Linked DNA regions of Macaca mulatta. Each later gene encodes a partner of the first gene's protein in a complex. Links are inferred from orthologs where the notes say so. Each region holds a gene or a part of one and is shown on either strand. Other genes may lie near its edges. The genes, in order: KCNJ4 and TAX1BP3.

Region 1 (14,336 bases):
ACAAAAGTAGTTTAATCATAGGGATAAAGCAGACACCTAAACAACCAGGGCTCTTTTTTATTTTATTATTTATTTATTTATTTATTTTGAGACGGAGTCTCACTGTGTCACCCAGCCTAGAGTGCAGTGGCTTAATCTCGGCTCACTGCAACCTCCGCCTCCCAAGTTCAAGCAATTCTCCTGCCTCAGCCTCCCTAGTAGCTGGGATTACAGGCGCCCACCACCATGCCTGGCTAATTTTTTTGAATTTTTAGTAGAGACAGAGTTTCACCAAGTTGGCCAGGCTGGTCTTGAACTCCTGGCCTCGAGGGATCTGCCCGGCCTCCCAAAGTGCTGGGATTACAGGTGCGAGTCACCGCGCCCAGCAGGGCTCTTTTTAAAAAAAATATCACTAGTCAGAGGAGGATGGTACTGAATTGTCAAGGCCTTTTGACCATCTCCTGCCATCGTCAGCCTTCCCCAGGAAGCCCCATGTGACAAGGAAGAGAAAACCTGGCCATCTCCTCGTGGTTGTCACATGAGAACACAATGCCCAGCTCATACCCTTCACTTTTTGGCCAGGCCTTGCACAGGTCAGCCTCGAATTAGCAGCGGAACCTCTCTCTCTTGCTAAAATGGTCTGTGGTGGCAGCAGCATGCACTTATTTGATCGAGTCACTGCAGACCAAGGGTTTTCAGGGGGATGGGGTGTCCCAGGGGCTGCTGCATGGGGAAGGGTGCCAGGTCTGAGGAGTGCCAGGGAAGCAGCTTTCCTGCTAAGCTCCAGGATGTGCTGGGGGCACTGGGAACCCAAGACAGGACCCAGCACATAGCAAAAGCTCAGGATACCTGCTGTAAGCTGTCGGGGAGGTGTCAGGGTGAGGGGTAAACTATGTCCCCATCGGGCTGCACTGTGGAGCCCAGTGGGCTGGAGGGGCTGAGGAGTGAGTGTTGCCGTTGGGGCTGGGGATTGTGGAAGCTCAGGGTTGACCCTGGGCACTCGCTAATGGGGAGGGGTGGGCACTGCTGGCAAGGGGACGCCCAATCTCTGTAGCCATCAGGGGATCGGCTCCCTTAACCCCAAGGCCCCTCCCATGAAGACATCTCATCTGCAGCACCAGGTGAACTCACCAGGTCAGGAGCCAATCCCACCGGGCAAAGAACCAGGGATGCCCTGGAACTCTGGGCTTGTGTTTGGCCTTGGGCAGGGGCCCCCACCCTCTCTGGAACTCAGTGACCTCACCTGTTGAAGGCCTGGGCCGCCACACCCTGTCCCCTCTGCCTCTATCCTACACACCTGTGGATGGTGGTCCAGTTTGGACTGGCTGATTTCTTCCCTGCCTTTGCCCCAAAACCCACCCCAGCCCCCTCCAGGGAGGAAGTGGATGAGGAACCCAGGGGTGGGGGTGAGGCCTTGTTCAGGGCTGGCCCACCTGGCCCCACTCTGGGACTCTTAGCAAGTCCTTCCTATCTCTGGATTTCCTTGGCCTCAGACATAAAATGAGGGTCCTGAACTCGGTGACCCTATGCTCCTGTCCTGACAGTCCGCGGTGCTCCTGGAGCCATTTGAGGCAGTGGGACAGAACAGGGGGAATATGTTTAGCAAAGAAAGGCCTCCCTGAAAACTCTATTTATAGAGCAGAAGGTGTGCCTGGTCCCAGAACCCCAAGGTTTCCATCTGGAGCCCTGGCTGCTGGAATGCTGCGGGAGGGGGCAAAGAGGGTCTGAGCCTCCAGCTCTGAAAGGCCAGCCTTGCATTACAGGCCATGCCTGCATGACCTGTTAGGTCTCCAGCATGATATCTCATTGGCCCATTTTCTCTTTTTTTTTTTGAGGCGGAGCCTCACTTTGTTGCCCAGGCTGGAGTGCAGTGGCACGATCTTGGCTCACTGCAACCTACGCCTCCCAGGTTCAAGCGATCCTCCTGCCTCAGCCCCCCTAGTAGCTGGGATTACAGGCATATGCCACCATGCCTGGCCTAATTTGTGTGTTTTTGTTTTTTGGTTTTTTTTTTGAGATGGAGTCTCGCTCTGTCGCCTAGGCTGGAGTGTAGTGGCCGGATCTCAGCTCACTGCAAGCTCCGCCTGCCGGGTTTACGCTATTCTCCTGCCTCAGCCTCCTGAGTAGCTGGGACTACAGGCGCCCGCCACCACACCTGGCTAGTTTTTTTTGTTTTTGTTTTTGTTTTTGTTTTTTTTTTTGAGACGGGGTCTCGCTCTGTCACCCAGGCTGGAGTGCAGTGGCCGGATCTCAGCTCACTGCAAGCTCCGCCTCCCGGGTTCACGCCATTCTCCTGCCTCAGCCTCCCGAGTAGCTGGGACTACAGGCGCCCGCCACCTCGCCCGGCTAGTTTTTTTGTATTTTTTAGTAGAGACGGGGTTTCACCGTGTTAGCCAGGATGGTCTCGATCTCCTGACCTTGTGATCCACCCGTCTCGGCCTCCCAAAGTGCTGGGATTACAGGCTTGAGCCACCGCGCCCGGCCTAGTTTTTTGTATTTTTTAGTAGAGACGGGGTTTCTCCGTGTTAGCCAGGATGGTCTCCATCTCCTGACCTCGTGATCGGCCCGTCTCGGCCTCCCAAAGTGCTGAGATTATAGGCGTGAGCCACCGCGCCCAGCCCTAATTTGTGTATTTTTTTTTTTTTTTTTTTTGAGACGGAGTCTCGCTCTGTCGCCCAGGCTGGAGTGCAGTGGCTGGATCTCAGCTCACTGCAAGCTCTGCCTCCCAGGTTTACGCCATTCTCCTGCCTCAGCCTCCCGAGTAGCTGGGATTACAGGCGCCTGCCACCTCGCCCGGCTAATTTTTTGTATTTTTTAGTAGAGAAGGGCTTTCACTGTGTTAGCCAGGATGGTCTCGATCTCCCGACCTCGTGATCCGCCCGTCTCGGCCTCCCAAAGTGCTGGGATTACAGGCTTGAGCCACCGCGCCCGGCAATTTGTGTATTTTTATAGAGACGGGGTTTCTCCATGTTGGTCAGACTGGCCTCAAACTCCCAACCTCAGGTGATCCACCCACCTCAGCCTCCCAAAGTGCTGGGATGACAGGTGTGAGCCACCGCACCCGGCCAGCCCCATTTTCAAGATGAGGAAACTGAGTTTCAGAGTAGTCAGTAGCTCGCCCAAGTCACACAGTGGATCTAGGACTTCAACCCAGGACTGTAGGAGCCAGGGAGCTCTTTGGGAACAAAGGGAATAGGGAGAAGAACTCGGAGTCAGGGTGGGTGACCGCGGGGGAGGAGGTGGGGGCAGGGCTCACTCTCCCTGGGCCCGGAGAGGGAGTTTCTCTTGGGAAGAGGCAGGCTCTGAGGCTGTTGATCTCTAAATTATAGCGTTGGCGCGTACCGGTTGCTGCAGCAACCGAGTTGTCCTGAACCGGGGAAGTGTATAAACATTGCCACAGATGCACAATTAGATCAGGAAGAAGAATAGAACAGAAAATAGAAACTTCCAGCCTTATGTAATTCTGGGCCAAAATGTTATTGGGAACCCAGGCCCAGTCCTGGCCCTGCCAGCTGCTGGGGGCAGGGTAGCACCATGTCTTCCCTGGGGACCCAGTGGCAGGGAGGGGTGGAGAGAGGGTCTGTCCTCTACGGCCCGAGGCACATCCCGCCACCCAGTGCGGTGAGGGGCCTCTTCTGCTGCAACAGCTGGGGATGCTTGACAGGCAAATCCTGCCTATCACCAGCTCCTGGGAAGTGTGGGAAGGCAAGCAGGAGGGTGATGGCTTTACCCCAGCGCCTGCTGTCCCCGTAGGTCCCATGAGGTAGGGAGTTTTGGTGCCCATGTTACAGGTGAAGACGTGGAAGCTCCGAGAGGTGAACTGAGTGTGTCCTCCCCTCCCACTCCCTGTCTCCCCGCCATCAACTCATTCATGTTGGTGCCACGCAAGTTTGTATCCACTGCCAGCTTTGTGGCTGGCAGCTGGCTTTCCCTCTCTGAGCCACCCGGGACATGGGAATAGCGATGTCTACAGAGGAGTCAAAGCTGGGGACTCCCCCTTCCTCCACGGGGCACTGGGCAGGAATTTGGGCTCAAGGACTCAAAGCAGCACTGGGAGGGAAGAGTCTAAGAAAGTAGCTCAGACCCAGGTGGGGCTGCGGGTTCCAGTAGAACTTTCTTTTTCTTTTTTTTTTTTTTTTTTTTTGTTGAGACAGAGTCTCGCTTTGTCGCCCAGACTGGAGTGCAGTGGCCGGATCTCAGCTCACTGCAAGCTCCGCCTCCCGGGTTCACGCCATTCTCCTGCCTCAGCCTCCCTAGTAGCTGGGACTACAGACGCCCGCCACCTCGCCCGGCTAGGTTTTTTTGTATTTTTTAGTAGAGACGGGGTTTCACCGTGTTAGCCAGGATGGTCTCGATCTCCTGACCTTGTGATCCGCCCATCTCGGCCTCCCAAAGTGCTGGGATTACAGGCTTGAGCCACCGCGCCCAGCAGAACTTTCTTTTTCTTTTTCTTTTTTCTTTTTTTCTTTTTTTGACATGGGGTCTTGCTCTGTGGCCCAGGCTGGAGTTCAGTGGGATGATTACAGCTCACTGCAGCCTTGACCCCCTGGGCTCAATAGATCCTCCTGCCTTAGCCTCCCAAGTAGCTGATGCCACAGGCATGCACCACGATGCCTGGCTAATTTTCTTATTTTTTGTAGAGATGGGGTCTCACTCTGTTGCCCACGCTGGTCTCAAACTTCTGGCACAAACAATCCTTGCATCTCGGCCTCCCAAAATGCTGAGATCACAGGCATGAACCCCTGTGTCCGGCCAGAAATTTCTCAGTGCTAGAACTCTCCTATATGTCTTCTCTGTCCAGTGTGGTGTGGTGGCCATTGACCATATGTGACTCCTGATCACTTAAAATGTGGCTCATGCAAGGAAGGAGCTATACTTAATATTTTATTTAGTTTTAATTAAATGTAAAGAGCCACAGGTGGCCAGTGTCTATCTTACAGGAGGATGTCCAGCCCCCAAGAAGCCCAAAAGTCCATAGATGGAATCCAGGGAGGGGAGCGGGCCCAGAGCCTCCGTGGCTCCCTATGCTCAGGGCAAGCAGGACAGAGGGACAGGGAGGAACTGAGATGGGCCTCAGGAAGCTTCCAGAACAGTGAGCATAGGAGGGCCGGAGGGGCAGTGTTGAGGGGCAGGGACTAGGACCTGGATCCTTGTGGCTTTAGCTTCCTGGTCTGTGGACCCCTATCTCTAAGCTGGGTCGGACTCAGGGGCACTGGCTCAGACCCTGTCATCAGAACCCCCTCCGTTGCCACCCTCCGCCTGCTGCGGCAGAGGAAGTCTTAGGTCCTGGTCCAGGCTCACCTGCTTCTGAGAGTCTAGGGGCTGAGTCTGGGTGGCCCTGAGGAGGCCCCTTGCTCCCCAGCATTTCACCTGTCTGGCTTCTCCTCCGCAGGCCCTGCGTCTTCCCAGGTGACCACGCCGGCTTCAGGACATGCACGGACACAGCCGCAACGGCCAGGCCCACGTGCCCCGGCGGAAACGCCGCAACCGCTTTGTCAAGAAGAACGGCCAATGCAATGTGTACTTCGCCAACCTGAGCAACAAGTCGCAGCGCTACATGGCGGACATCTTCACCACCTGCGTGGACACGCGCTGGCGCTACATGCTCATGATCTTCTCCGCGGCCTTCCTTGTTTCCTGGCTCTTTTTTGGCCTCCTCTTCTGGTGTATCGCCTTCTTCCACGGTGACCTGGAGGCCAGCCCAGGGGTGCCCGGGGCGGGCGGGCCGGCGGCGGGCAGTGGCGGGGCAGCCCCGGCGGCCCCCAAGCCCTGCATCATGCACGTGAACGGCTTCCTGGGTGCCTTCCTGTTCTCGGTGGAGACGCAGACGACCATCGGCTACGGGTTCCGGTGCGTGACGGAGGAGTGCCCACTGGCAGTCATCGCTGTGGTGGTCCAGTCCATCGTGGGCTGCGTCATCGACTCCTTCATGATCGGCACCATCATGGCCAAGATGGCGCGGCCCAAGAAGCGGGCACAGACGCTGCTGTTCAGCCACCATGCGGTCATCTCGGTGCGCGACGGCAAGCTCTGCCTCATGTGGCGCGTGGGTAACCTACGCAAGAGCCACATTGTGGAGGCCCACGTGCGGGCCCAGCTCATCAAGCCCTACATGACCCAGGAGGGTGAGTACCTGCCCCTGGACCAGCGGGACCTCAACGTGGGCTATGACATCGGCCTGGACCGCATCTTCCTGGTGTCGCCCATCATCATTGTCCACGAGATCGATGAGGACAGCCCGCTCTATGGCATGGGCAAGGAGGAGCTGGAGTCAGAGGACTTCGAGATCGTGGTCATCCTGGAGGGCATGGTGGAGGCCACGGCCATGACCACCCAGGCCCGCAGCTCCTACCTGGCCAGCGAGATCCTGTGGGGCCACCGCTTTGAGCCCGTGGTCTTTGAGGAGAAGAGCCACTACAAGGTGGACTACTCGCGTTTTCACAAGACCTACGAGGTGGCCGGCACACCCTGCTGCTCGGCCCGGGAGCTGCAGGAGAGTAAGATCACCGTGCTGCCCGCCCCGCCGCCCCCTCCCAGTGCCTTCTGCTATGAGAACGAGCTGGCCCTCATGAGCCAGGAGGAAGAGGAGATGGAGGAGGAGGCGGCTGCGGCGGCCGCAGTGGCCGCAGGCCTGGGCCTGGAGGCCGGCTCCAAGGAGGAGGCGGGCATCATCCGGATGCTGGAGTTCGGCAGCCACCTGGACCTGGAGCGCATGCAGGCTTCCCTCCCGCTGGACAACATCTCCTACCGCAGGGAGTCTGCTATCTGACCTCCAGGCCCGGCCCTCACCACTGCCCACAAGAGCCTCTGCCGGGGGTAGGATGCCAGGACACCCCCTCCCACACTCAGGACAGAGCCAACCGTGGCTCCGTGGACCTTCTGGAGGAAGGTGGGGGTTTCAAAGACTGGGGGACCCCTTCCTCCTGACTCCAGCACCCTGGCCTGGGAAGAGCTCGGCCCAATCAGCCTGGGTTCCCCCAGCACCTACTCCTGGTGGCTCTGGGTCCCCGGATCCACCACCCTTCCCCCACTGACTCTTCAAGGACGTGCCCTCTTTGCTCTCAGAACCTTGGGGAAGGTGACTGGACTGCTGGGTGGGAGACATCTCGGGGTTTCAGGGTGGGCAGGGGGTTAGTTTGGGGAGGGGGGTGCGTTTCTTTTGCATGACTGTGGCCTGTTGCTCATGACTTTCTTTTGTAAATATCTATAAATGGAGACAGATGGAGACACCAAATTCACCTTCTGCCGTTTTTACCTGCCAGACAAGGAGATATGGTCCCTCTCTGTGCACCCTTCCCCACCCTGCCCATCAAGCCTAGCCCCTTCCCCTGCCCAGCTGGCTGGCCCCTTGAGGCCTGCAAAGCCAGCCACCTTGGCCCTTGGATGGTGTTGAGTTTGGGTGCAGAGGAGGGACTCTGAGGGGTGGGATGAGGGAGCATCCCTCCCTCCCTGCAGTCCCTCCGGCCCCGGGGCCCAGCCCAGATTGACAATAGAGTTTGTAACTATATATATATATACACATTTGAGACGGAGTTTGTAACCATATATATATATTTGAGACGGAGTTTCGCTCTTGTTGCCCAGGCTGGAGTGTAACGGAGCAATCTCGGCTCACTGCAACCTCCGCCTCCCGGCTTCAAGCGATTTTCCTGCCTCAGCCTCCTGAGTAGCTGAGATTACAGGCATGACCCACCACACTCAGCTAATTTTTGTATTTTTAGTAAAGATGGGTTTCACCATGTTGGCCAGGCTGGTCTCGAACTCCTGACCTCAGGTGATTCACCCACCTTGGCCTCCCAAAGTGTTAGGATTATAAGCGTGAGTCACCGCACCCGGCCATAACTATATATTTTTAATAAAGTATATGGTCCATTGGGGTTGGCTGGTTGAAGATGGAGGGGTGAGAAGGAGAGACAGTGAGCAAGCACACATGTAATTGTGCCTGTGTGTCATGTGTGTGCCTGTGTAGTATGTGTGCCTATGTGTTAGGTGTGTGCCTGTGTGTGTCATGTGTGTGCCTGTGTAGTATGTGTGCCTGTGTGTTATGTGTGTGCCTGTGTAGTATGTGTGCCTGTGTGTGCCTGTGTGTTATGTGTGTGCCTGTGTGTTATGTGTGTGCCTGTGTGTTAGGTGTGTGCCTGTGTGTTATGTGTGTGCCTGTGTTATGTGTGTGCCTGTGTGTTAGGTGTGTGCCTGTGTAGTATGTGTGCCTGTATGTGCCTGTGTGTGTCATGTGTGTGCCTGTGTAGTATGTGTGCCTGTGTGTGCCTGTGTGTTAGGTGTGTGCCTGTGTAGTATGTGTGCCTGTGTGTTATGTGTGTGCCTGTGTAGTATGTGTGCCTGTGTGTGCCTGTGTGTTATGTGTGTGCCTGTGTGTTATGTGTGTGCCTGTGTGTTAGGTGTGTGCCTGTGTGTTATGTGTGTGCCTGTGTTATGTGTGTGCCTGTGTGTTATGTGTGTGCCTGTGTTATGTGTGTGCCTGTGTGTTAGGTGTGTGCCTGTGTAGTATGTGTGCCTGTGTGTGCCTGTGTTATGTGTGTGCCTGTGTTATGTGTGTGCCTGTGTGTTAGGTGTGTGCCTGTGTTATGTGTGTGCCTGTGTGTTAGGTGTGTGCCTGTGTGTTATGTGTGTGCCTGTGTTATGTGTGTGCCTGTGTGTTATGTGTGTGCCTGTGTGTTAGGTGTGTGCCTGTGTAGTATGTGTGCCTGCGTGTGTCTGTGTTATGTGTGTGCCTGTGTAGTATGTGTGCCTGTATGTGCCTGTGTGTTAGGTGTGTGCCTGTATAATATGTGTGCCTGTGTAGTATGTGTGCCTGTGTGTGTTATGTGTGTGCCTGTGTAGTATGTGTGCCTGTGTAGTATGTGTGCCTGTGTGTGTTATGTGTGTGCCTGTGTAGTATGTGTGCCTGTGTAGTATGTGTGCCTGTGTGTGTTATGTGTGTGCCTGTGTAGTATGTGTGCCTGTGTAGTATGTGTGCCTGCATGTGTCTGTTAGGTGCGTGCCTGTGTAGTATGTGTACCTGTGTAGTATGTGTACCTGTGTAGTATATGTGCCTGTGTGTATGTGTGTGCCTGTATTATGCATGTGCCGGTGTAGTATGTGTGCCTGCAAGTGTCTGTGTGTTATGTGTGTGCCTGTGTGTTAGGTGTGTGCCTGTGTAGTATGTGTGCCTGTGTGTGCCTGTGTGTTACGTGTGTGCCTGTGTGTTAGGTGTGTGCCTGTGTAGTATGTGTGCCTGCATGTGTCTGTGTGTGTGGCCCTTTCTGAGTGACTGACCCTTGGAGGGAACTTTATCACCTGCCATTCTCCTTCCTGCGAGTCAATAGAAGGATCTGGAGTTGGCATCAAAGAACCAAAAGCTTTGATGTCAGAGCTTTGTTACCTAATAGCTGTGTGACTGTCAGTTCTTGGCCTCGGTTTCATCTTCTGCAGAATGGGATTAACCATCCCTCCCGCCCGCGATAATGGGCAGGATAGCCCTGTGTGGATGTCAGCCAACCCTTCCTAACTCAGGTGGAAGGGGGAAGGGCCCACCCGATCCACACCTCCCTACATATATGCAGATCCATACACCGCTGGTAGAGCTGGTGGCAGGACACTGATGGGAAGGGCCCAGGGGCCGGGAAACCTGGTCACAGACTTGACCAAGACAGGCTTGGTCTCTGCTCTCTGTGGGACCTTGGGTAAGTCCCTTCCCTTCTCTGGCTTCGGTTAGCCTATGCTATGTAACCAGTCAGCGCAAAACGGAGAGCAATGATGCATCCTCTGTTAGGGTCCTGTGGGTGGGCTGGGGTTCCTAGCTGATTTCTCCTGGGCTCACCCGGCAGCTGTGCTCAGCTGGACCGTCAGTGGGCCTGGAAGACCCCCGAAGAACATGTCGGCAGCTGGTCTGACTGCTTTCTGGGGGGCTTTGGTTCTCCTCCAATAGGCTACATCACATTCCTTCATGGTGACTCCGGGCAGCAACCTAAGAGGGCGAAGGTAGAAGCTGCAAGGTTTCTGGAGGCCTAGCCTTGAACTTGGATAACACCGCTTCCACTGCAGTCTATCGGGCAGAGTCCAGGTCACAAGGCCAGCCCAGGTTCAAAGGGTGGGAAATTAGACTCCACCTTTTGAGAAGGAGGCAAAGTCACATTGCCAAGGACATGCGGAGCAGGAGGGAGCTGTGGCCCTAGTTGGTCATCTATCCCAGAACCTTGGAGTTTGAGGGTTCCTCCCACCCGACCTCTATTCTACAGGCCGACTGTGTGCCTTGGGCTGTAAGGAAGCAGAAGGCACCCTTCTGGGTCCCAGGGATCTTCCATACAAAGGTGCCAGCTGCCTCGAGAAACAGGGAAGCAGCCGGCAAGCTTGCCTTGTGAATGACCACGTCTCACCAGCCCCAGCAGTATAGCTGCCGTTTGGGTGAATCACTGTGCACCCCGTATGCTGCGCTGCTGCAGAAGGAAACTGGAGACCTCTTTCCTGGAGACGGAGCCTCGTTCGGGATCCAAGCCTCCCAACAGATAACTCATAATGTCTCTGATTTGCATAACACCTTTCACGTCCTTGGGTTCATTGAACTCTTACGAAACTCCAAGAGGAAGCCAGGACAAGGATTATGGCCTCCTTTTACTGATGAGGAAATAAATGGTGGCCCAGAGAACCAGGGAACTGGCTGGAAACAAAGTGAGGACAGTCAGAGGCCCGGGACCCTGCTTTTCCTTCACTCCATCCTCTCCCAGGTGGGGGCTCAATGAGGGGGAGAGGCTGCTTCCTTTCCTCTTCTGCCCCTTCTCAGATTTCCCAGAGTGCACCTGTGGTCTTTGGGGGCCCCCCTGGAAGAGCCTGTGGGGGCCGCTCAGCAAGAAAGAAATTCACATTCTGGAAGGACCCCTGGTCCTCTTCTGTCAGCTGAGTACCCCAGGGTCTCACTCCTGACCCTGGAGGCTCATGAGAGATGTCCCGCTATCCAGCCCCGCAGGCCCTGGGTGGGTCTCGCCAGGTCTCCCCGGTCCTCCCTCCACATCCCCAGGATGCCACGGCTCCCGGGCTACGAGCAGTAACTGAAGAGGACTCAGGCTCAGGTGCTCCCAGACTCAGAAGCCTCCACCTGGAGCACGTCTTCGGGGATGTCCACCCTCCTCTAAGATATGCGAGAGGCCTGGATGCAGGGTGAGGAAGGGGTACATGTGGGGTTACCTCAAAGAGGGCCCGTCATCCACCATCCAGAGCAACATGGGGCGTTCCAAGGTCCCTCCAGGCCCTTCACCAGCTTGCGGCTTGCTCATATGCTTGTGGTAGTTGCTCTTTTTGGAGGGGCCTGGTCTCTCTGGTCACATGCAAGGTGACCTGTGGCAGGGTCACACAGAAGAGGCAAGTGAAAGCCCAAAGCCAGGACTTCTGGAGTGCCAAAGGTCAGCTCCAGTGTGGGCACTGGGGGAGAGGGCCATGAGGTGCCGAGAGCCCGCAGCTGCAGGGAGGCTCCCAGGCCTGGCTGCACTGCAAACTCCTGCTGGCTCAGCTCTGCTTGGGGCTGACTCACCTTCCCTCTCCCACCTGTTCCCCTTTCACAGCCCTCCCACCTGCCTCCCTCCTCGTGCAGCTCCTCTGATCTCTCACTCCACTCCGGCTCCTGCGGCACTGACATGGGGGGATTGCTGCGTCTGGGGGTGTAAGAACCTTAGATGTCACGGAGCCTAGAATTGCGCACACGGGCGGGCTGAAGGAGCCGTAAAGTGCTGCCAAGCCCTCCTCATGCCACACCAGCTTCCCTGCAGAGCCAGGGTAGGGAGACCCCCTCTGCCCTGCCCTCCCCTCTCTTCCCCACTTCGGTCACAGCCTCTGGGGGAGCAGGAGTGGTGGGCGGGATGGAGAGAATGACGAGGGTATCATGCATGCAGAAGAAAAGGAGGAAGACAGGGAGGGAGGAAGAGGAAGAGAAAGAAAAGGAGGAAGACAGGGAGGGAGGAAGAGGAGGAAAGGGAGGCAGACAGATAGGGAGGAAGAGGGCGGGTCTAATGGGAGCAGAAAATCCCACCCTCATCTGGCCACGCCTGCCGGCCTGCCTGGAATCCCACAGCTGAGACCTAATCCTTGTAGATTCACCATGGCTTCCTTCCCACCAGCTTCTGGAAGATTTATCTTCTTTATGAACTCAAATAGCTCATAGAAGAATAGAGAAGAACTTAGGAGGCATCCAACTCAGCTATTTCACCTCATCGCGTTCACCCCCATCTTTGTTAGACCCCACGACCGCAATCAGAGGACTGCTTCCTGCGTCTGGCTTTTCTCATTGCAGTTTTTTCCAGGTATTGACTTTTCTGGGTATTGATGGATTCTACATCTTTTCAATTTTTTTTTTTTTTTTTTTGAGATGGAGTCTCACTGTGTTGCCCAGGCTGGAGTGCAATGGTGTAATCTCGGCTCACCACAACCTCCACCTCCTGGGTTCAAGAGATTCTCCTGACCAGGCATAGTGTCTCATGCCTGTAATCCTAGGACTTTGGGAAGCCGAGGCGGGCAGATCACCTGAGGTTGGGAGTTCAAGACCAGCCTGACCAACATGGAGAAACCCTGTCTCTACTAAAAATACAAAATTAGCCGGGCATGGTGGCACATGCCTGTAATATCAGCTACTAGGGAGGCTGAGGCAGGAGAATCACTTGAACCCGGGGGGTCGGAGGTTGCAGTGAGCCGAGATCGCGCCATTGTACTCCAGCCTGGGCAACAAGAGTGAAACACCATCTCAAAAAGAAAAAAAAAAAAAAAGAGATTCTCCTGCCTCAGCCTCCCAAGTAGTTGGGATTACAGGTGCACACCACCATGCCTGGCTAATTTTTTTGTATTTTTAGTACAGATAGAGTTATGTCGACCAGGCAAGTCTCGAACTCCTGACCTTGTGATCTGCCCTCCTCAGCCTCGCAAAGTAGTGGGATTGGAGACGTGAGCCACTGCGCCCAGCCTTCAGTTTTTAATGACTATAGAATGTTCATCAAATTGTACAGGATCAAAAATTATAGACCATTATGGATCATCAAGGCAACCCCTCATTTACAGAAACAGAAACTGAGACCTGGAGCAACGCAGTGATGAACATCTTTGTTCACTGTTTTTTCTTCTTGTGCCTGTTTGCATAAGCTGAGTACAAGTTTCAAAAGCTAACAGTTCTGGGCTCTGTGTGGCAGACTGTAGAAATGCACCCTTCACTCAAGCCTGTAATCCCAGCACTTTGGGAGGCCGAGATGGGCAGATTTCGAGGTCAGGAGATCGAGACCATCCTGGCTAACATGGTGAAACCCCGTCTCTACTAAAAAAAATACAAAAAGCTAGCTGGGCGTGGTGGCAGGCACCTGTAGTCCCAGCTACTTGGGCAGCTGAGGCAGGAGAATGGCATAAACCCGGGAGGCGGAGCTTGCAGTGAGCTGAGATCCGGCCACTGCACTCCAGCCTGGGCAACAGAGCGAGACTCTGTCTCAAAAAAAAAAAAAAAAAGAAAAGAAAAGAAATGCACCCTTCAGTCTTCGAATCTTTCTACAAGGACAATGTAGACCTGGGTCCCAGGAATTGGAAAGTGAAGGAGCTTTAAATCCAATATCCTGGCCGGGCATGGTGACTCACACCTGTGATCCCAGCACTTCAGGAGGCCGAGGCGTGTGAATCACGAGGTCAGGAGTTCAAGACCAGCCTGGCCAACATGACGAAACCCTGTCTCTACTGAAAATACAAAAATTAGCCGGGCGTGGTGGCGTGGGCCTGTAATCCCAGCTACTCAGGAGGCTGAGACACGAGAATCACTTGAACCTAAGAGGCAGAGGTTGCAGTGAGCTGAGATCATGCCACTGCACTCCAGCCTGGGCAACAGAGTGAGACTCGGTCTCAAAAAAAAAAAAAAAAAAAAGAGGAGCTGGGACCTGATGACCTCCAGGGTCCTGATGTGCCTGACCACCTAGAATTTTGTTCCTGTGACCTTCAGAAGCTGGCAGGATGTCTGGGGAAGAAGTGAGGACAGACAGAATGGGCACTTGGCAAAATTGGCCAAGCCTAGTTCTGCCCCTCCCCCAATCACTGGCCACCCCTTACTCCACTTACTGCCTGGAACCTGGCAGGACATTCCTCACACAGCCCTGTGGGAATCCCACAGCCAGAAGCAAGTGCCTGGATCCTGGTCCTGAGCTCACACGCCGGCCCCACCCACTACAGATTCTAAAGGGCATCTCCAGGTCACACAGTGAATACCTGTTGAGCACCTTCTGTGAGTAAGGAAGGCCCTGTTTTAGCAGAAAGCATTCAGCACTGAACCAAACCGACAAAGATGGAGCTGGGACCTGGGCCCCCACCCTTCAGCCCTGGGCTGAGTCCTGAAGCTGGCCTCTGGC
Region 2 (15,126 bases), on another chromosome or scaffold:
GAGGGGTTCTCTCTGCACACAGAAAGCGGGGGTGAGAGCACCCCTCCACTGAGGCTTTGGAGAGAAGGGGCCTGGCAGGTGTCAGTGATGCTGTTCCTGGGACCCAGGGACGTGGTCTCCAGAACAGGAACCCTCCCAGAGCAAGGAACTTCCTCACTTTGGGTTGTCTGGGAAGGGAACCTGCAACAAGCCTGTACTGCTCTCTGATTAGAAAGTAAAGATCCAGGCTGGGCCCGGTGGCTTTGGGAGGCCGAGGCGGGTGGATCACCTGAGGTCAGGAGTTCGAGGCCAGCCTGGCCAACATGGTGAAGCCCCGTCTCTACCAAAAATACAAAAATTAGCTGGGCGTGGTGGCGGGTGCCTGTAATCCCAGCTACTTGGGAGGCTGAGGCAGGAGAATCACTTGAACCTGGGAGGGAGAGGTTGCAGTGAGCTGAGATCACGCCACTGCACTCCAGCCTGGGGTGACAGAGTGAGACTCTTGTCTCAAAAAAAAAGTGAAGATCCAGGTGATCCACTCAGGTGTGTCACTTCTGCACTGAAGCAAAGCCTTGCACTTTATAACTTGGTGACTTTTAGGTTTGGGAGGAAGCAAAAAAGGCAGGGGTCATGGCTGCTGATTTTAACCAGACTGAAATGGCTGGCAGAAGCCACAGAACCTGAGGATAGTCGTACTATTTGTTTCGTATTGCAATGAAAATGTCTTCCTAGCCGGGTGCCGTGGCTCACGCCTGTAATCCTAGCACTGTGGGAGGTCGAGGCGGGCGGATTGCCTGAATTCAGGAGTTCCAGAACAGCCTGGGCAACATGGTGAAATCCTGTCTCTACTAAAATACAAAAAACTAGCTGGGCGTGGCGGCATGCACCTGTACTCTCAGCTACTCGGGAGGCTGAGCAGGAGAATGGCTTGAACCTGGGAGGCGGAGTTTGCAGTGAGCCAAGATCGTGCCACTGCACTCCAGCCTGGGCGACAGAGCAAGACTCCGTCTCCAAAAAAAAAAAAAAAAAAGAAAAGAAATGTCTTCCTACAGTTAGTCATTCCTTTAGCCAGGAAATGTTTATGGAGTCCCCGTGACGTGTCAGGTGTTGGACCAGACACTGCTGAGACAGGGATGAGCAACACAGACGTGATCCCTGCCCTCGAGGGTATCCAGTCTAGTGGGCGTTACCAAATGATCACGCCTGTCATTGCAGGCGGAATGGGGTGTTGGAGAGGTCAACGAGGAGTAGCCAGATAAAGTCTCCCCAAGGAAGCGACCTGTGGGTTGAAATCTGAAAGGTTATAGCAGCCTAATTAGGTGACGGGGAAGCATTCCAGGTGAGGTAAGCACAGGTGTGAAGGGACGCTTTGACGTGGGAAGGAGCAACGAAGAAGCTGGGTGAAGGCGGCAGACAGGAGCCAGGTTTGGCGAGGCTTTTGTCTAATCAAGCTGACTGTCTTTAGCTGTGAGGGTTGCCCCTTTAGACTTTGCTTCCTTAGAGGACTTACCCTCGTCGTTTCTTCAAGGCTGGCCAAGCCTTCCAGTGACCTCCTGACTGCCCATCAGGGCCCCCATGCTCAGAAAAGCCAGAGATCCCGTGACAGCTTCCAGACAGTGTCACACTCTTCCAGTTTCCTTGCTTTTTGCGCAGCCCCCAGCTCCCACCGTTTTTCTGCATAATCTTGGTGCAAGAGTGGGAGGCTCATTAATCTGATGGAAACTGGCTTTTAAATGGGGAGAAGTGAAGCAGGAACTGGAGCTCCTTTCAGACTTGGGAAAGCCCTTCTCCCTGGGCACTGGTTGCCTCACTGGGAAGCTGAGAGTGCCAGCCTCTGGAGCTCCTTTCTGTTCTGATATTCCAGGAGCACGTGAATTGCCTCTGCTTATGTTCAGGCCCCATCCTAAAGCCAGCCGTCCGGCACCGAGCGATCCCAGGCCTTTGGGAATGCCATGATGCTGCCCGATGGGAAATTTGTACACTGGGTGCTATCCATGTCACATCACGGGGACCAGCCATGAAAGAGCAAAGTGACCTCCACGTCTGATGCTGGGGTCATCAGGACAGACCCATCATGGCTGTCTTTTTGCCCCACCCCCTGCCGTCAGTTCTTCCTGTCTCCGGGGCTGGCTTCCCGCACTAGGGAACGGGTTGTAAGTGGGGAACACGACTTCCTTCCAGAGTCCTTGAGCACCTCAGCTAAGGACCACAGTGCCCCGTAGAGCTCCTAGATTACCTCACTTGGAACGGCATTGCGCATGTCTGGAGAAGGGCTCCATTTGGTTCCGCCCCACTCCCCTCTCCAAGTGCCGCAACTTCCCTCAGAGCATCCTCTCCAGTGGATCCAAGAACTCTCTCTCCTAAAGACACCACCTTCCTGCCAGCTGTTTGCCCTTAGGCCAGTACACAGAATGAGTGGGGGATGGCAGACGCTTTCTGGCACCTGCCCAATACGTGTATTCTCCGACACTCTTATTTGGTCATAAAACAATAAACAGTATCAATTTCAAATGTGTCCTGACTTTCTTCCCCTCATGCCTTCATGTTTACCTGTGTATATATATTATATATAAAGTGTGTATATATATATATATAATATATATAATATATATATTATATATATATATTTTTTGAGACGGAGTCTTGCTCTGTAACCCAGGCTGGAGTGCAGTGGCACCATCTCGGCTCACTGCAGCCTCCGCCTCCCAGGCTCAAGCGATTCTTCTGCCTCAGCCTCCTGAGTAGCTGGGATTACAGGTGTGCGCCACCACGCCTGGCTAATTTTTTTTGTATTTTTAATAGAGACGGGGTTTCACCATGTTGGTCAGGCTGGTCTCAAACTCCTGACCTTGTGATCCACCCACCTTGGCCTCCCAAAGTGCTGGGATTACAGGCGAGAGCCACCGTGCCCGGCCCATTTTTCCCTGTATTCTAATTTTTTTTTTTGAGATGGAGTTCTGCTCTTGTTGCCAAGGCCGGAGTGCAATGGCTCACTGCAACCTCTGCCTCCCGGGTTCAAGCAATTCTCCTGCCTCAGCTTCCTGAGTAGCTGGGATTAGAGGCATGTACAACCACGACCGGCTAATTTTGCATTTTTAATAGAGACAGGGTCTCTCCATGTTGGTCAGGCTGATCTCGAACTCCCGACCTCAGGTGATCCGCCCACCTCATCCTCCCAAAGTGTTGGGATTCCAGGCGTGAGCCACCGCGCCCGGCCTTTTACCCGTATTTTGAAGGAAAATGTAGGAAGGCAAGATCAAAAGAGGCAGACACGAGAAATAATTAGTAACCCATATAATATATACCCATTATCTTGCAAGGAAATTCAAATTATGGAAATGCTTTAAATGAACAACTATTAAAATTATAGACTAGGAAGGCACTGATAAAACTGGTACTTTTCATTCAATTAGTGTAATCTAACAACTTGAAATCATTTGGAATCAAATTTTTATCTTCTGCTGTAGGAACTTACTAAATTTCTCAAGACAATAGAAACGCAGACATTCATTGGAGAATTTTTTATAGTAGTGAACATTTCAAACTTACTGCCCAACAATAGGGAAATGGGTAAGTACATCATCAGCTCACTTATCCCTCTTCCTTCTTCCTCCTCTCCCACCAGGCCGGGGACTCCCTCTGCTTCTCCCTCACACCAGGAATGAACGTTTCCTTCCCACTCAGAGGAGGTTCTGAGAGGACAGAGGTGGGCGAACCACTGAGGATCTTCAGTGGGGGGCAGAGAAAGGGCTCACTGGGATAGGGAGGCAACACTACGGCCTCGGCTTCTCCTTGGCGTCGTGTGCGTGTGGTCCTGAAGCTGAAACGGAATATAACAGGTCTGGGTCCCAGATCCATTTCCATGACTGGCCATGAGCTATGATCTGTCAAAAGGGGTCTTGGATTCAAGCTCTCAGATCCCCTTCCAAACGAAAACAGATTATTAAAAAAAAAAGGCCGGGCGCGGTGGCTCAAGCCTGTAATCCCAGCACTTCGGGAGGCCGAGACGGGCGGATCACAAGGTCAGGAGATCGAGACCATCCTGGCTAACACGGTGAAACCCCGTCTCTACTAAAAAATACAAAAAACTAGCCGGGCGAGGTGGCGGGCGCCTGTAGTCCCAGCTACTCGGGAGGCTGAGGCAGGAGAATGGTCTAAACCCGGGAGGCGGAGCTTGCAGTGAGCTGAGATCCGGCCACTGCACCCCAGCCTGGGCGACAGAGCAAGACTCTGTCTCAAAAAAAAAAAAAAAAAAAAAAAAAAAAAAAAATTCCAAATGTGATTACATCACTTCAGACTAAAAACTTCCAAAGGCTTCCCCCATTTGCTCTGAGGATCAAGGCCAGGGCAAATGGGAGCTCACTGCAGCCTGAACCTCCTGGGCTCAAGTGATCTTGATCTTCCCATTCTAGCCTCCTACAGGGACATGCCCCCGTACCCATTACTGCCCTCCATGATCTGGTCTGGGTCTACCCTGTGGCCTCTTCTCTCACTCTCTAAATACAGTCACATTCCTTCCTACCCAATGGCCTGGAAACATGCGCTTTCCTGAAGGTAACCCCTTCCCCACACTTTACTTGGCCATGTTATTCAACCTTTGGGTTTCAGATGTAATGTCATTTCCTCAAAGAAGACTTCCTTGACCTCCATCCCCCAACTTGGGCTAGGTTTGCTGTGTCCTCTCTTCACAGTACTTACCATAATTTAAGTATTTGTGAAATTAGGTGATGCTGGTCTCCCCAGTTAACTATAAATCCAATGAGCACCATCATGTTCATTACCATAATTTCTTTTTTTAGACAGGGTCTCGCTGTTGCTCAGGTTGGAGTGTAGTGGCAAATTATGGCTTACTGTGGCCTCAACCTCCTGGGCCCAGGTGATCCTGATCCTCCCACCTCAGCCTCCTGAGTAGCTGGGACTACAGGCACATGCCACCACACCTGGCTACTTACATGTTTTTTTTGTAGAGATGGGACTCTCACTATGTTGCCCAGGCTGGTCTTGATCTCCTGGGCTCAAGCCTTGGCCTCCCAAAGTGCTGGTATCACAGCATGAGCCACTGCACTCAGGCAACTACTATAATTCTATTGCAATATCAAATAAACACACGCGTTTTATTCTTTCTTTTTTTTTTGAGATGGAGTTTCACTCTTGTTGCCCAGGCTGGAGTGCAATGGCGCCATCTCGGCTCACTGCAACCTCTGCCTCCCAGGTTCAAGCAATTCTCCTGCCTTAGCCTCTCTAGTAGCTGGGATTACCGGCATGTGCCACCACGCCTGGCTAATTTTGTACTTTTGGTAGAGACGGGGTTTCTCCATATTGGTCAGGTTGGTCTCGAACTCCCCACCTCAGGTGATCCATCCACCTCAGCCTCCCAAAGGGCTGGGATTACAGGTGCCCGGCCACAAATGCATTTTAAGATAACTCTCTTGACAAGAAAGGATCAGGGATTAACACATGGAGGTGTTTACACCCTAAACCAGCCCAAAATTCAGTTTAAATGTCCAAACAATTTTTTTTTTGAGATGGAATCTTGCTGTCACCCAGACTGAAGTGCAGTGGCACGATCTTGGCTCACTGCAACCTCCACCTTCCGGGCTCAAGTGATTCTCCTGCCTCAGCCTCCCAAGTAGCTGGGATTATAGGTGCCCACCACCACGCCTAATTTTTGCATCTTATTTTTAGTAGGGATGGGGTTTCACCATTTTGGCCAGGCTTGTATCGAACTCCTGACCTTGGGTGATCCGCCCGCCTCAGCCTCCCAAAGTGCTGGGATTATAGGCATGAGCCACTGTGCTGGCCTAAATGTCCAAACAATATTTAATCTTCCCTAGACATATTCTAAAAAATACAGCTTGACTGGCTGGGCGCAGTGGCTCACGCCTGTAATCTCAGCACTTCCGGAGGCTGAGGCAGATGGATCACGAGGTCAGGAGATCGAGACCATCCTGGCTAACCCGGTGAAACCCCGTCTCTACTAAAAATACAAAACATTAGCCGGGCGTGGTGGCGGGTGCCTGTGTATATGTGCGTGTGTGTGTGTGTGTGTGTATATATATAGATAAAATCTTGACTTTTTCTTATGGAAAAGACTGTCACTAAATGAAACGGAACTAAAATGACACCATTTATACCTGGAAGTAGTGGTTAGTGGTTAGTGGGAGGGAACGCTGGCCTGGGAAAGGTACACCCAGCCTATCAAGAGCAAATTAAGAGACCTGCGTTTGAATCCTGGCTCTGTCTCTTCCTAGCTGTATCTCCTCTGGCAGAAGTATTTAACCTCTCTGAGCCTCAGGTTCCTTACCAGGGAGCTAACAATAACATCTACCCTGTAAGGTTATTGCTAAAATTAAATGGGAGGATTGGTGTAAAAAGTACAGGTCACAATGCCAGCATATAGGGAACTCTGTTTTTTTTTTCGTGAGAGACGGAGTCGCGCTCCATCACCCAGGCTGGAATGCAGTGGCGCGATCTTGGCTCACTGCAACCTCTGCCTCTAGGGGTCAAACGATTCTCCTGCCTCGGCCTCCCCAGTACCTGGCATTGCAGGCGCGCGCCACCACACCCGGCTAATATTTGTATTTTTAGTAGACACGGAGTTTTGCCATGTTGGCCAGGCTGGTCTTGAACTCCTGACCTCAGGTTATCCGCCCACCTCGGCCTCCCAAAATGCTGGGATTACAGACATCAGCCACCGCGCCGGCCCAGGAAGCTCTTAATACATATTAACTGTTACTGCTTCTTAGGATGTTAATAAGAAGTTATTTCCTTATGTAGGCCCTTAGGGTCCGTTTCTGGATGGCCTATGTGTAAACGCAAGGACTTAACACAAGGCTCTGGCCCAGTCCCTGCTCTCCAGGAGTCAAATCTCGGCGATTTTGCATCAGTGGCAGACTAAGCTTTATGGCAGGAAAGAACTATACCAAGTGTCTCACGCTTCATTTAATCTGAAGAATATTACAGGCTCTCCGTCTTCAGATATAAATTATTTATAAGGTTACAGAACAAGCAGCGAATTCAACCACTTAAGGACTAAGGAAGTCTACACGGTGTTAATTGCTGGCCACAGTCCTCCCGATCTGGTTTTTAAAAAAAGTCCCCCGGGCCCCCATTTCAGTAGACGTGCACCATGCCGTAGAGGAACGTCCAGAACAGGACGTAGGTGAAGAGGCCCCCGATGAGGCCTCCTGTAAAGAGGGGTCTCCGTGATTTGAAATATTTGTTCCACCTCCTTCCCGCCTTGAGAATGAGGAGCAGGGAGAGCAGGACGGAGGCGAGCAGGTAGAAGATGAAGCCGTAGAGGCCGGTGAGGCCGAGGATGCCGGCCGTGGCCCCCGACAGCGCTGACACCGAGGTCCGGCAATAATCCAGGACGGCGGCGTTGCCCCGCACGGCCGCCTCGCTGATGAACGGCGGCCCTTCCCGCTTGGCCACCACCGCGGCCATCGCACCCGCCGGGGCTCGGCCTCTCGCTTTCTCGCGGAGCAACGCGGAGCTGCGGAGAAAACCAAGTTACAAGCAGCGCCCGAAGCTCGGTGAGTTGGGTTCACGCCGCCCCCTCCCCCTGGAGCTTCCGAGACCTGGCACCAATCCTGGGCCTCGGACCTTCCAAAAACGCCGAGGAGATTGAGGGTGCGAGTCGGCCGGGAGGTGGTGGCGCGTCTGCGTTCCCCGGCCACGCTGGCCCAGTTACCTGGAACACGGCGCCGGACACAGTACTTAGGGTTCCCTCAGACGGGAAGGGGAAGCGATGCCTGCGGCGCCATCTTGCTCTGAAGGCTGCCGGGAGGTCCCGGGCTGCGCACGCGCCCAGGTCCCGCCCCGCCCTCCGCGCCTGCGCCGTGGGCGCCCCGGACAGGCTCCACCCTCTGCCTGCTTTTCTACGCACGCGCCGGGACTTCCGAAAGCGGAGTAGCGCTCCGGCCAGTGATTGGCTGGAGGTTTGTTAACTATTCATGAGGGGGCGGACCGAGCGGGGCGGCCTTTGTTAAGCAGCGAGGGCGCGGCCGCGGGGACTCTGCTGCCGGCTTCCCAGAGCGGCGCTGGGCGACCAGAGTGGGGTCGAGATGTCTTACATCCCGGGCCAGCCGGTCACCGCCGTGGTGGTGAGTGCGCTTGCGCCGGCTCCTCCTAGTCTTGGCCTGACCCCACCTCGCAGAGCGGGAAACGGACACCCCAAGCTGGTTGACAAGAGCATCGAACCCGGGGATCCTGCGAACCGGCGGCAAGGGCTCGGGTTCCCGCTTTGCCGGAGCGGGCCGCAGTTCCCCCAGCCACGAAACAGGGACGGCCGGGACCCGAGAGCCTCCCGAGACCCTGGACGGAGCCCAGACTGCGCGCGCGGGGCGGGGAGGGCCACGGGGAAAGGCCCGGCTGCGGGAGCCTGGGAAAGCGCCCCCTTCCCGGGCCTCCGTGTCCCCAGCCGGGGAGCTGCGGGGGGCGGGCGCCGATCCCGACGTCCATGAGTCGCAGCCTCTGGAATGAGGAAATGCTTCCTCCGCTGCAGCTTGCGCCGCCGCCCGAAGGGAGATCTGGGGGTGGAGCTGTCCCGAGCCTGCCGTGGCAGCCCCTTCCCCCTTCCTGTCCAGCCTTGCTCCTCCGACCCACTCGCCGCCTGGTCCAGGGTGGACGCTCGTATAGCTGCGATGAGCGTTGCGTCTTGGAACTTTTCTTGGTTCTCCAGCCCTTAAGGCAGAAAAGTCCAGGCCTCCCTCCTGGCACCTGAGTCCTGAGTAGACCCTCTGGGGGCTAGCCTAGGCCCCTGGCCGCCCTCTGGCTTGTTGTAGGTGCTGGGTGGTATTAGACTAGGCAGAGAGAGGAAGGGAGGCTGGGCTGTTAGACTCAGACGCCGGTGTCACGGTGGGACGGGGCCTGGAGAGCAACCCTATGACAGAGGTGGGGAGTCCCAGAAAGAAGTGCTCAGCCAGAGAAGACCTCAGGATAGACTCAGGTCTCCTGCCTACCTCCCGACAGCATTCAGAGGAGGGACGAGAAGAAATGCCTGCCCGGTGGGCAGTAGGTCAAGTCCCCGCCCTGGAGCCTTAGGGACTGGGTGTGCTATCTCAGATGGGTGTGCTGGAGAAGCTCAGCAATCAGGTGGGTGGAGGCAGAGAAGCCACTGATAAAGGCGACACGTGAGGCTGAGCTTAGAGCACCAGCTCAGGCCTGGGCCAGGAGGAAACATTGCTGGACCAGCTGACAGCTGTCCTAAGCTTCACCGTCCCTGCACCAGCCTGACTTTTTTTTTTTTTTTTCTTTGAGACAGTCTTGCTCTGTCGCCCAGGCTGGAGTACAGTGGCGTGATCTGGGCTCACTGCAACCTCCGCCTCCTGGGTTCAAGCGATTCTCCTGCCTCAGCCTCCCAAGTAGCTGGGATTACAGACGTACACGAGCACGTCCACCTAATTTTTGTATGTTTAGTAGAGATGGGGTTTCACCATGTTGGCCAGGCTTGTCTTGAACCCCTGACCTCAGGTGATCCACCTGCCTCAGCCTCCCAAAGTGCTGGGATAACAGGTGTGAGGCACCGCGCCTGGCCCAGCCTGGCTTTTTTAGATCCCTAGCTGCCCCAGAGAGAGGGCACCAAGTTTACTCTTTAGCTAGAAGCGGGGTGGGGGCAGGGGCAGGTGAGGAGCCAGAGCAAGCCACCTTCTGCGTGACCTCACCCAGCAGATCAGTGACAGCCCTGTCTCCCAACCCAAGGGCCTGTAATCTTCTGACTATGCCGGCGAAGCAGGCCTGGAGGAGCTCAGTTTGGGGCATGAAGACCCAGGCGCAGTGGGTCTCATGCTTCCTGCCCCGCTCCCTCATGCCATAACTGGTCCCAGGGCCTTCCCCAAAATTGCAGGTGCATGCCTCCCAATTCTAGTAACACCAGGAACGTGCTTGAACATGGTGTGTATGGTCTGGCCTCTCCCTTGAGTCTTGGATTGGGGATGGGGTTGGGCAGGCTCACTCCCCAGTCCCCACCCTCTCCCATGTAGAATTTTGAGAATGTTAAATCCATTTAGGCCATTCCTCTGAACTCTGGCTCCATTGATCCATCTGCCTTCTGGACACCTGCCCTGCAGCTCCTGGCACTCCAACCCAACCTGTCCCTCCTCCTCCTGGGTCCTCATCTGAGTGATGTGTGTTCAGCCAGGCAAGGTGGCTGGGTGCTCCTCTTGACTCCTCTCCTCCATGAGTGGTCCCTAAGTCTGTAGATCTCCATTTTCAGGTAGCTCCATGTCCCCTAGCCTCTGCATCCTGCTTTTGTGAGATGTCCGTTCCTCTACTGATTACCTGAGTGGTCATTCTAGCAGCGAACCTGGCCATGCCCTGCCCTACTCCATTCCTGAGAACTCCAGTGGGTTCAGGATCAAGGCTACCCATCACCCCCTCAAAGCCTGATGCAAATAATCCCCGCTTTGGGGAACTTCTTTAGGTCTAGTCTGGATTGTCATCTTTTGCTTCTTTTCTCCTTCCTGTTAAAGCTCGACCTTGGGAGTGATCTGGTCTGGCTCCCAGCATCTGTTTACTGGACAGTGCTTGCCAAGGGCTTTGAAAGGAACTTGGCACAGTTGGGGACCATAACCCCAGAGCATGGTGGGAGCGCCTCAGAACACTCTTGTTTCTGCAGAAGAGCAGGGCCCGGGGCTTAGGGAGACACCCCTACTCCCCTTCAGGACGGGATCTGGCCCCAGCCTTACACTTTCAGCCTCATCTCGCCTCCCAGTTCTGTGTCCTGCACTGGACACTCCAGTCTCACGAACACGTATCCACAGCACCTTGAAGCCTGTGCTGTGCTCTGGTCCCCTTGGCCGGGAAGCCCTTCCTCTCCTTTCTATGCAAGTTTGATCTCTGTTTTTCCAGAGCACCTCCTGTGAGATGGGCTTCCCACCCACAAAAGCCGTAGCACCTGGACTCTTGGGCCAGCAGGGGCTTTGACCACGTGTTGACCAAGACCAGTGCCTAAGACTAATAGGGGAAGTGGGGACAGGTTGAGGACAGAGGGCTGTGTGGGTGGATCAATGTGGCCAATTTCTGAGTGCCAGCTCCTCAGCCTCCCAGGCTGTGAGCAGCTGGATTCCTGTAGGGGCCTGGGCCCCACCCCCTTGGCATGGCTCCGAGGCTGCTGCTGGGGACACACACCAGCCTCATTCTCCAACCACCCACTTCCCTCAACTGGCTTTTTTTCTTTGCCAGCAAAGAGTTGAAATTCACAAGCTGCGTCAAGGTGAGAACTTAATCCTGGGTTTTAGCATTGGAGGTGGAATCGACCAGGATCCTTCCCAGAATCCCTTTTCTGAAGACAAGACGGACAAGGTGAGGGGGTTCTGGGGTACTGGGACCGCTCCATGGGGCACAGGGGCCTGAGATAGTGGGTCTCTGTTTCCTGGGCCCCCATGGAAGGAGCAGACCTCATCTCTCAAACCATGTTCTCTAAGCAGGCATTGGAAGTGACCTAGTGAGAATAGGGATGGGTAGGGGTGAGGAAGGGCTGTCCAGATAAAGCCCAGGGGAGCACGGCCAGCGCACGGTGGGGCAGCGACACTCTGTCCCGGCTCTCTCAGAATAGTCCTCACTGACCGTGTGTGCTGGGACAGGCTGAGTGCGGGGACAGAGGGACGGCTGACAATGTGCTATGCTGGCTTCCGCTCTGTGGATAAGGGGCCAGTCCAGGGACCACAGGGCTTGACTTGGGCTACCCCTTTCCAGGGTATTTATGTCACACGGGTGTCCGAAGGAGGCCCTGCTGAAATCGCTGGGCTGCAGATTGGAGACAAGATCATGCAGGTAACACGTGTCCCAAAGGAGGAAAAACAAGGTTTGGGCCAGCAGGTCTGAAGCACGTGAGGTTGGGGACCTGCCGCAGCCTCCCAGCTGGGAGGAACTCACCATAGCCAGTTGGGAGCCCATGCTGGTATTGCCCCAGAGGACGCTGGCTTTCTCTCCTGTGTGTGTCTCAGCCACAGCGCTTGGCCTGGGATGTTAGGCTGGGGGCTTACTTGAATGACCCGGGCCTCCAAAGCCCTCTGCTTCCAGATCCCAGAGGGCGGGGAGCTGAAGTGGGCCTGTCTTCTCTCCCTGGGCCAGGTGAACGGCTGGGACATGACCATGGTCACACACGACCAGGCCCGGAAGCGGCTCACCAAGCGCTCGGAGGAGGTGGTACGCCTGCTGGTGACACGGCAGTCACTGCAGAAGGCCGTGCAGCAGTCCATGCTGTCCTAGCAGCTGCCACCGTCTGCAACTCCTGCCTGCCTCCCCTCTGTACAGGAACGCCACTGCCACGCTCTGTCCCCACCTGGCTTCTGCTGAGTGCTGGGCCCCAGCTCAGAAGGGCTACAGCTGGTCCCAGAGGCCAGGCCTGGCCTTCCTTCTCTTCTCCCACCCCTGGCCTGGGGCCTCTGGGACCAGCTTTCTCCCCTGGACCCCGAGGATTAGAAACAAGGGCCTGGAGCTGAGTGGTAGCCGGTCTGCTGTGACCACAGGCTCAGGTCCAACCTTGCTGCCTGGCCACAGCTGTGGCAGGGCAAGTGGGAACCACCATCTCTTGGGAGCCACCAAAGCTGGGAAATGCCGGAGAGGCCGGGCCTTTCCCGCTTTGCCCTGGCCGCCGGGTTCGGCTCCGCCACCGCCCCGCAGCCCTCGTGTGTCCACCCCGCAGTGCCTCTGCCCATCGGGGGACTGCACACACGTCCTGCCAGGGGCTGTATGAAGGTTTGCCCAGACAGAAGCCAGGTGGGCTCCCTGTTCACTCCCACTCTCCCGAGGGGTGCTGGCCTCCCCAGGGTTTACCTTCTTACAGGATTTAGATGAGGTTCGAGGCTCACATTTCAGGGCAGCTCTCAGGATTGTCATTTTCCTCTTTGCCTGTGGGTTTAACTTTTGTATTTTTTTAATCACGTTTGATACGAAATGTTTTTATCGTACTCTTTGGAGGTGCCCATTCTACTTCTGAATTTAGCTTACTAACTCGCATCTGGAAGCTCAGCAAGTGCACAAGCCTTACTTTGGTGACCGTGGAAACCACTGCCGCCCCTCCCCAACGTGGTGTGCTCAATAAACAGTGCTGGAATTCACAAGGGCTTTGCTGAGGCATGGGCTGGGATGTCTCGGGGGTGGGATACTGGGGCCAGAGCTGTGGTTTTAACGATGGCTCCATCCCCCACTGTTCTGGGACAAAGCTTAACTACTCCCAGGCCCACCTGCCTGGAAAGCCCGGGGCTGGTGGAGCCGTAGCAGCTGCACTGCGCCTCACCGGAACCACATCTGTGGGAGCATCTGGGAGCACTGCGGTGGGACCCTGGGGTGCATGTGCTTTCTTGGGTGTTATTGTGAAGCCCCTACTTGCTCCCACCTTCCTTTTTGCAACCTAGCCTCAGCTCCCACCTGGGAGGGGCCATAGGGACACCCAGAGGTGCCTGCGAGAGACCCCTGCCTATAAGACACTAAGGGCACTCCCTGTATCACAGCGAGGGATGCAACCCCCCACGTTGCTGGGGGCCGTGATCTGGCCAGATGGGGGTGAGCCAGAGAGCACCTGACCACCTGCGTACCAGCTTGGGCAAGGTGTTAGCACTCCTGGACCTACCTAGCACTGCCAAATCAGATTTTAAAGAAAAGTCCATAATTTTTTTTTTTTTTTTTGAGACAGAGTTTTGTTCTTGTTGCCCAGGCTGGAGTGCAATGGCGCGATCTGGGCTCACTGCAACTTCCGCCTCCCGGGTTCAAGTGATTCTCCTGCCTCAGCCAATCAAGTAGCTGGGATTACAGGCGCCTGCCACCATGCCCAGCTAATTTTTGTATTATTAGTAGAGATGGTGTTTTGCAACGTTGGCCAGGCTGATCTTGAACTCCTGATGTCAGGTGACCTGCCTGCCTTGGCCTCCCAAAGTGCTGGGATTATGGGCGTGAGCCACCATGCCCGGCCGGAAAAGTCAATCATTTGAAATATCTCATTTTAAAGTATGGCACCCAGTAACACATTGATTGGGTGACACAAGTGAGACAGGTCTGTGGACCTGGTCAGGCCAAAGTCTCTGCTCTACAGAAACGAGACCTGACATTCTTTGATGTTTGTGACAACTACATAGAGGAAGCGTCTGGAGAATAAGACCCCCACTGCCCCCCGCCCCCACACCCAGTGCTGGTGTGCCCTTCAGAACCTCATCCGCCCCCACTCACATCCAGATTGAGTGGCGTGCCCTGGTAATGGTAGACATGGAGCCTGGGAGAGTGACCTGTCCCTGGGCGGGCAGGAGTCTCACACTACCCAAGAGGGCTCCCCAGTGAAGTGCGGGGTCAGCACGCAGCCCCCTCGGGTCAGTGAACTTCACAACCTTACGCGCTTCCTCACACAAGGTGGGGAGCAGGGGCACCTGGCTCTGAAGGCCAGCACACCTGCCTTCTGTATCGAGCACACACTTAAGAGTGCAGAAAGGAAGCGAGTAGGTTTTAATTCAAGATACAGGCCCCTCGCGTTGTCTCATGGACGAAAGCTCAGTGGACTGACAAGCTCAAGGCATGTACGAGGCACGTCCTGGGACCCCCTGCTGCCATAGGAAGAACGACAGCTTCGGGTGGAGAGAAGGAGGTTGAGATCAGGGTTGGGCCCATACAGATTGTGTGAGGTGGTCTCAAGTACAAATACTTATCTGAGGCTCCTGAACAGGCCAGAAACTGGTGAGTCTCAGGTAGGGATCTGGGGAAAGAGAGAGAAGGGGGCCTGCCCTCCCTCCGGGGCAGCTGGTCGCCGTTTGGCAGGCCTAACAGACCTCTAAGGCACAGACTGGTAGCAGGAGAGAGGTGTCCTGTACTCCAGATGCTGGGTAAGGAGGGGCTGGGTGTGCTCAGGTGGGGCTCATCGGACTGGAAAGGTGGAGGTAGCGGAGAGGGCAGAAGAGAGTAAGCCACTTCCAAACGTCCCTCCACAAAATCTGAAAGGAGTTAGTATGCTAATGTGCTGGGCATGAGTCCAATTCAGAACCAATCTGGCAGGCACCTCAGGGCTCAGAAATACTCTGGGTAGGACCAGCTGTTGACGGCAGTCGCGGACGCTGAGTTATGTAGAGAGAGCATGTCAGGAAAGTGGCCTGCAGAGAAAGAATCCCGCGGCCTAACCCCAAAGTCCTAGTCCCTCCACCAGCACCTCTGAGTCCACTG

The links.
Region 2: the proteins of KCNJ4 (region 1) and TAX1BP3 are in contact, whole or in part, in a crystal structure (PDB 3GJ9), measured with the Homo sapiens proteins. The link is inferred for Macaca mulatta from reciprocal best matches to the Homo sapiens genes KCNJ4 and TAX1BP3. Residues at the interface, in NP_004972.1 of Homo sapiens: Arg440, Arg441, Glu442, Ser443, Ala444, Ile445; in NP_055419.1 of Homo sapiens: Leu27, Ile28, Leu29, Gly30, Phe31, Ser32, Ile33, Gly34, Gly35, Asp38, Gln39, Gln43, Asn44, Thr58, Arg59, His90, Asp91, Arg94, Leu97, Thr98.

Annotation. Positions count from the first base shown.
Region 1 is NC_133415.1:13,104,602-13,118,937, forward strand, and holds the end of KCNJ4 (inward rectifier potassium channel 4), read left to right. Parts: intron 1-5,371; 5' UTR 5,372-5,410; coding exon 5,411-6,748; 3' UTR 6,749-7,856; downstream 7,857-14,336. Other genes in the region: uncharacterized protein LOC144331675, read left to right, coding at 10,919-11,133. UniProt on the Homo sapiens protein: Inward rectifier potassium channels are characterized by a greater tendency to allow potassium to flow into the cell rather than out of it.
Region 2 is NC_133421.1:5,150,228-5,165,353, reverse strand, and holds TAX1BP3 (tax1-binding protein 3), read left to right. Parts: upstream 1-7,994; 5' UTR 7,995-8,045; coding exon 8,046-8,084; intron 8,085-11,163; coding exon 11,164-11,283; intron 11,284-11,676; coding exon 11,677-11,754; intron 11,755-12,054; coding exon 12,055-12,192; 3' UTR 12,193-13,043; downstream 13,044-15,126. Other genes in the region: P2RX5 (P2X purinoceptor 5), read left to right, coding at 3,605-3,644; EMC6 (ER membrane protein complex subunit 6), read right to left, coding at 7,093-7,425. UniProt on the Homo sapiens protein: May regulate a number of protein-protein interactions by competing for PDZ domain binding sites. Binds CTNNB1 and may thereby act as an inhibitor of the Wnt signaling pathway. Competes with LIN7A for KCNJ4 binding, and thereby promotes KCNJ4 internalization.